Linked DNA regions of Cricetulus griseus. The protein of the gene in region 1 interacts with the protein of each later gene in a biochemical or structural test. Links are inferred from orthologs where the notes say so. Each region holds a gene or a part of one and is shown on either strand. Other genes may lie near its edges.

Region 1 (3,819 bases):
GTCTGTGTCTTCATATTGCCTGAAACTGAGTAATCGATTTCTGGGACTCATTGATAACTACTAGTCAGTTATGATTTGAGGCCTGGAATGCTGTGTGTGGCTGAGGTTTTAAAGGTGAAGTCTATCTTCCTTTGGAATGGACCCATCATTATGTATCAGATATTCTCTCTGTCTCTTCCTCTGTCTGTCTCTCTCTGTCTCTCTGTTGAAATCTGAGAGACCAATGCAGGGAATGCAACACGGACATTCATGAACTTGACAAGTGTGGTTCTGACTTTAAACACATTACTTCATTTGGCAGAATATGTTATATTTTGGCTGATCAGTGGTTCTTTGAGTAAGGTACCCGATATAATATAATAATGGGTGGTATTATATTCTTTTCCTGTTTTTAAACAATAAAGTGTTTTTATTTTTGACTACTACTATTTCCACCGATATTCAGGCATCCAAAAACACTAAAAGGATATCAGGGCTAGCACAGGGAACCTGAGAGGATTTGGTTTCAGGACCTTAAAAGTTGTAATTTTTTTTTTTTTTTTTTGTACATAAGTAGAATTTGTTGAAAACTAAAATGATAAATGCCTCTGCCTGAGGTTTGGGTTGGGCAGAATTAGAGGAGAGGTCAAGAATGATTTTAGTGTTTGCACATGTGTGCAGCACACACGCATGCATGCACGCACACACACACACCACACCCACACATGCTTTGCTTGTTGCAGATCAGGGAAAATGGCTGTCCTCATGTCTGTGTTAGCTGCTCTTTTGAGTATACCAACCCTGTTCCTTAATTGGCATTCCATCGGAGGCAGATGGGAGCCTTGTCTTTCAAGGAGAAGCGATATAATGACTTTTCTATTGCCATTGACCTCTTTTTCCCAGAGTATTAATTTGAAGAAGGGGCCAAGGAAGGCTGATGACTTTTCATATCTTCACAAACTAGATTTTTATTAAAAGAATCCCTCTCCAAAATGTCTGCAGCTGGGAAGACTCTGGTTTATGTTTCTGTAACATCTGTTTGCTGAGTCAACCTGAATAGGAAATCCCAGAGGAAGGCCATTTGGCGTCTTTTCAAAGTCTTGTATAAATATTCTGCTGCAGCTCATTTCTCTTTAAGGTTAGAATGCCTGGGTTAAGTGTAGTTTAAGCCAAACGCAGATTGTGTCTCAGTCATCTGTTCCCACTTTTACTTCCCACTTGGCTTCATGCTGCTGGGGAGAAGTAGTGCCTTTTCATGATAGTGGCCAGGTGTGTCTGTGTGTGTTCTGCCACCAAAGCTGATTTCACACGTTTCTTGTAATTGAGGTTAGTTATAAAGGTAGAGATTAATCTTAGTGCATATGTTTTAGGTGGTTGGAATTGGGGGTGGTGAAGGGGCTGGATTTTTTTAGTAAAGGATTAAATTGTGGCTGGCACTGAGTTGTATCTCAAATACTGAAACGATGAGGGGGAATCCAGCTCCAGTCTCTCTCAACTCTCTGTGGTTATGTGATGCAGGGTCTGTTGAATGAGTTTAATTAAGCTTTTCAGCTGTCCTGGAGCACAAGATCCTTGGTTGTCTGTGCAGCCCTGGCATGCCCCAGGGATCCCTTGGCCTCACACAATAAGTTGCTTTTAAGGGACTGGCTTCAGCCTCTGAGAGGTACCTCTTTCTAGGGATTTGCTCAGTGAGATCAGACGGGAGAAGTTAATCACTTTGCTCCTGCTGGCCAGAGGCTTGTGTCTGGATCAAAGACACTAAATTGTAGCCTTGTGCAGGCGGGGAGGGAGCAGGGTGTTCAGTGCATCTTGATGAGGCCTGGCCGCCGTGCTGACTTCCCTGGGGCCCACAGGAAGGGAGCCTCTGATGCAATGGTGATTCTACACTAGCAGGGAGGCCTTTCTCCATCCTCCCTTATTCTGCCTTCCTCTGGTGTGATCCTGGATGCTGCTTCCAGGAAGTCTGCTTGTATTTACCTGCCTGAGTTGGGACCTTTTCCAGCTAGGGGTTGTACTGAGGATTCAGTCTTTTTTAAAACCTACCAGGAATGTGTATGCTGAGGAGATTGCTGTTCACATTTTTTATAAAACTATGTGAGCACAAATCTTTGAGAAACTAGATTAATGCCTCAGAGTATACTCTGTACATGGAGTGCATGTCTTGAGGGTTGTGCCATCCTCATCTACAGGGCCAGTTAGTTGTATGCTGGCCCCCCCACCCCCCAGATTGTAGTGCCGTGACTGTTTGAAGCAAGCTATAGTTTGGGCTGTTTGCATTGTTCCCCGATATCTCTGACCTTCCCTTCCCTTTTCATCCTTGTCTAGCTTTCCTGTCTCAGTGAGTGTGCCTTTGTCGTCATGTGGGGTGGCCAGCACTAGGGACTCTGGTTGCTACTGCTCCATAATGGTCTCCGTGTGTTCTTTGCAGTGCTCTGTGAAGAACTGCCGGACAGCCTTCCACGTGACCTGTGCTTTTGACCGTGGCCTAGAGATGAAGACCATTTTGGCAGAGAATGATGAAGTCAAGTTCAAGTCCTACTGCCCAAAGCACAGCTCACACAGGAAACCCGAGGAGAGCCTGGGTGAGGGGGCTGCACAGGAGAATGGGGCCCCCAAGTGTTCTCCTGGGAGCCCTCTGGAGCCCTTTGCCAGTTTGGAGCAGAATAGAGAAGAGGCCCACCGGGTGAGTGTTCGCAAGCAGAAGCTACAGCAGCTGGAGGATGAGTTCTACACCTTCGTCAACCTGCTGGATGTGGCCAGGGCCTTGCGACTGCCTGAGGAAGTAGTGGATTTCCTGTACCAGTACTGGAAGTTGAAGAGGAAGGTCAACTTCAATAAGCCCCTCATCACCCCAAAGAAAGATGAAGAGGACAATCTAGCCAAGCGGGAGCAGGATGTCTTGTTTAGGAGGCTGCAGCTGTTCACGCACCTGCGGCAGGACCTGGAGAGGGTAATGATTGACACTGACACCTTATAATGACTTAGAGAAGAAGATGTAAAGAGGCGAGCACTTGCCCAGAGCAAGAGATGATAGCCAGTCGTTACTCTCAGATTCTTGTACACACTACAGCATGGGGTTGTGTTGGTTAAATATATTTATGGGCTGGTAAATTCACTGCAGTGTGCAAGACTGCTAGTGTGGGAGCTGCTTTGTGATTATTTTTCTTTACATACTTTCCCATTAATCTTTACTGTTCTGCAAGATCAGATGGGGCATACCTCCATCCCCTGCTCGCTCCCATCATTGTAAAGCTGGAGGGAATTGAGCACCAGGAACACAACCAAAGGGTTGACTCAGCATTGTTTACAGTCTGATTTTGAGAACTGGGATGTATCTGACTAATGGGGGAGAGGGCAGCAGTAGGGGAATTTCTTGTTCAACCTGGGGAGACATTTCCTAGGGGCTGATGGAGGACCCATCAGACAGAGCTAAGCACTGCCTCCCAATGGCCCATCTTTGCTTCTAGGCTAATTCACGGGCATTCCCAGCTCTGTTGCCGAGCAGAGCAGGCTATGGGTGCTGATAATGTGTGCATGAATTTAGACACACACCTGCTACAGAAGACACTTGGTAGTGAGGTGCTAAGTCATCACAGAGGTTGTGTACATGCAGTGTGTGTGCTTGTGTGTGCTCGGGTATCCCTGTCTTTTGTGTGTGTGTGTGTGTGTGTGTGTGTGTGTGTGTGTGTGTGTGTGTGTGTGTGTGTGTGTGTGTGATTCCTGGTGCACAGGGGCATTGGGTCTGTCTGGAATCCTTAGCAGTCTCAGTACACTACATACATATACACAGACATGTGTTTATCATACTACTGGGTTGCTGATGAAGTGGCTGGCTGCCTG
Region 2 (3,819 bases), on another chromosome or scaffold:
TAACCATTTGTGACTTCAGTTCCAGGGGATTTGACAACCTCCCTTGACCTCTAAGGGCTTGTATGCTATACACAGACATGTAGGCAAAACTGTCATAGAATAAAATCTAATTTTAAAATAAACTGTTTTTGACTACCTATAAGTCTTTATTATAAATTCCTTTCCCAGCACTTATAACATTCATGTGGAGAAACTTCAAGGACAGTTGGATAAGAAAATAATTTGTATTTTTTCTGCTTAAATTCTTTTGGGATTAGAGTTATAGATCATTACATGTTTATTTAGTGAGTTTTTTTAAAAGATCTTTTTGCTTGTATAATGTATGTATGTGATACATGTGTGTATACAGATTTACCACAAATATGTAGGTAGGTAACTGCAGAGGCCAGAGGAGCTTGTTGAAGCTCCTATAACTGGAGTTACAGGCAGTTGTGAGTCACTGTGTGTGTGTTGGGAATCGAACCCAGGTCCTCTGCAAGAGCAACACATGCTCTTGACCAGTGAACCATCTCTTCTGCCCCAAGACCATATTTTGAAATGATGTATTTTTGAGTGTTTTTTGAGTCAGGGTCTCTTGTAGCTCTAGGTGTCCTGTAACTCATGTAGACCAGGCTGGCCTACATCTCACATAAATCTTCCTACTTCTGCTGGGATTAAAGGCATGTGCCCAGCTAGTGTGATTTTTGTTGATGGAGAGTTTGAATAAAATTTACCCTGAAGTTAAAAGGGGCCCTGCATTAACATTTTATATACTATCTTGGACTTTTCTTTTTTAAAAAAGATTTGGTTATATTGTCCTAACTCTGTGTATGAATGTATAAGTACAGGTGCCCCAGGAGGCGGGAAGCATTGCTTCCCCTGGAGCTGGGGTTACAGGCAGTTGTGAGCCACCATGTAGGTGCTGGGACTTGAAGTCAGGTACTCTGTCTGAGTTGTATATGCTCATAGCCACTGGGCCGTCTCTGCTTTGTCTTTTTCTTTCTTTTTTTCTGACATAGCTTTGCTAGCAAGACCATTTTGATTTGGGTGTTTTGTTGTTGGGTTAGATGCTTTTATTTTCAATGTGTTAATCTCTTATGAGAGTTCTAATGATTAGTCTGAATTGTTTCAGAATTAGGGATAATACAGTAAGAATTACTTCTCTTTCCAAAGTTAATTTGTATGTTATCCCACCAAAGTGTCTGAAATGAAGGATAGTTCCTCTGAACAGGGAGGGAAATTGTGGTGGATCCTTTCTTACACTGGAACTTGATGCTTCGGCATCACGGTTCATTTTACTTCCAATGCTAATAGAAACCCGCAGTAAATGCTTCCATGCTAATGTCTGGATCTGTGGTATTACAGAGAAATGCAGGCAGTAGTTCAGATGGAACCGAAGATTCCGATTTTTCTACAGATCTCGAGCACACAGACAGTTCAGAGAGTGATGGCACATCTCGACGATCTGCCCGAGTCACCCGCTCTTCAGCCAGGTTAAGCCAGAGTTCTCAAGGTAAAAGTCTTTTTATTTATTTATTTATTTTTTCTCACTGTTCCTCACAGTGGACAGATTGATACCATTTTTTTAAAAAAGATTTTATTTATTTATTATGTATACAACATTCTGCTTCCATGTATATCTGCACACCAGAAGAGAGCACCAGATCTCATAACAGATGGTTGCGAGCCACCATGTGGTTGCTGGGAATTGAACTCAGGACCTCTGGAAGAGCAGCCAGTGCTCTTAACCTCTGAGCCATCTCTCCAGCCCCAGATTGATACCATTTTATTGTGCTGGTTCATAGGGAGAATGGTCTTTTGGCTTTGTGTAGATGATAGAATGTGTCAATGTGTAAGGCAAATGCAAAAATACCTGGTTTTCAGAATGACTTCTGTCAGATACCACGTCCTGTTTATAGGTTGTGGCTTGCATAAATGTGAGACATAGATGTCTTGAGTCTTTTTTTTTTTTTTTTTTTTTTTTTAAGATTTTATGGTGCTGTCGGTCATCATAAAATTGGTAAAATGGGACTGTTATTTCATCACTTTGTAAAATGACTTAGGGACCTAAATGCCTATTGAATGTATTAGTGAGGCTTATTGCTTCTAAAAGCACATTTAATTATAGAATGTAGAGTCACATTTGATAGATATTAAAGTGTACGGATAAATACCCAGAATTTTGCTGTGGTAGTGAAAAAAACAAAAGGCTTGTGTTTGAAGGTAGGTGGAAGACTCTCTAGTGTACTTAGCCATTTGGGGTTATTTGGTAGGTAGCCTTTTGCCTCTCATAGTTCTGTTTGGTATGGAAGAAAGGTTTTAGCTAATACACAATCTTCAGAGATAGAGTAAATAGAAAAATTACAATATGGGGCTAGGTGTGGTGCATGCCTTGAATCCCAGCACTTTGGAAACAGAGGAGTGCAGATTTCTGAATTCAAGGTCAGTCTAGTCTATATAAAGAGTTCAAAGCTAGGCAGAGATTCATACCAAGACTCTAGCTTTCCCCTCCCCCCCAAAACCCCAAAAATATATTTATGTATATATTACCTGTCTATGATAGGTGTATGGGTGGGTGGGTGTGCACAAATGTGCATGCACAGATAAATGTGATTTGTTAAGGATACTGTGGAAACCCAGAGGTAGGGCAACCATATTGTTGTCTGGCATGAGTCTAGTAGAATTTTACAAATTGAAAGATGAGAAAAATGTTTTAGGCAGAAAGAACCATATATGCAAAGAATCCTGAGAGTTCTAGAAACTGTAATTAGCTATGTCCTAAAAGTTATGGTATTCAAAACAGCTAGACACATGAGCTTGGGGGGGGGGGCACAGGCACTGTTACATTATTTCCTGGCCATGCTGCTGCACAACTCTTGAGCATCAGCCACAGGATAAGAGCACCCTCCCTAATGTGAAATATAGACAGCCTTGTGAAAAGAGCCCCTGGAAGTATATAGACTTGGGGACCTGGCTCTGTACTAACTCAGTCTCTCCTGACAGCTTGAGAATTTCAACTCATACTTCACACATTGTCATAGGATGTTGTTTAAAATATTCTTCAGTTTCAGCTTTGAATCTATTTCCTTATTGGAGATGTGAAAGGTTTATGAAGGCTTCAGAGTAGATTTCTCTATGGGAAGAACATAAGGGGCTGGCTGAGTGATGGCTCAGTAGTTAAGATACTGAGTTGCTCTTTCAGAGGACCTGGGTTCAACTCCCAGCACCCATGTGGTGGCTCATGTCGTTAGTTAACTCCAGGGAATCCAATGCCCTTTTCTTTTCATACACATAAAAATAAAACTTAAAAGACAAAACAAAAACCCAAACTTAAATTTCATTTGTGTGTTTTGAGCCAGTTTATCCTTAGGTAGCCCAGGCTGACCTGTAAATTACTATCATTCTGCCTCAGACTCTGAAGTACTAGGAATACTTATGTCACTAGGTCTGTCTTAAAAATTTTTGTACATTTAGAATCGATTATGACTTCAAATAAGAATACAAGGGTAATCAGAAAGAATAAGTAATTCCCCCCCATACAGTATTTATGTATTATTCTGTTAGTTTTAGGATATCTGTATTGTGATGGACTGTAGCAAGGGAATAGGTGGTATAGTTAATACTGTTAAAGAACTCTCCTCACAATGAGCTTGAGGAGTGTGTTGCTAGTGTTTCTTTCTCTCTTTCCCAAATTAAAGTAAGTATTTTTCTTTTTAATGGATAAAGAAGCAAGCTTGGAGACATTAACTTGCCCAAGATGCCACATATGGTTGCTATGTGGAGGGGAACTGAATGGAGTTCAGTTTTCACTACAGAGCCTAAATTCTCATGCTCTGTTAC

The links.
Region 2: the proteins of Jade1 (region 1) and Kat7 form a complex in vitro, tested with the Homo sapiens proteins (2 studies listed by BioGRID). The link is inferred for Cricetulus griseus from reciprocal best matches to the Homo sapiens genes JADE1 and KAT7.

What each region holds. Positions count from the first base shown.
Region 1 is NW_023276806.1:108,454,346-108,458,164, reverse strand, and holds part of Jade1 (protein Jade-1), read left to right. Parts: intron 1-2,407; coding exon 2,408-2,929; intron 2,930-3,819.
Region 2 is NC_048600.1:108,482,346-108,486,164, reverse strand, and holds part of Kat7 (histone acetyltransferase KAT7), read left to right. Parts: intron 1-1,344; coding exon 1,345-1,492; intron 1,493-3,819. UniProt on the Homo sapiens protein: Catalytic subunit of histone acetyltransferase HBO1 complexes, which specifically mediate acetylation of histone H3 at 'Lys-14' (H3K14ac), thereby regulating various processes, such as gene transcription, protein ubiquitination, immune regulation, stem cell pluripotent and self-renewal maintenance and embryonic development.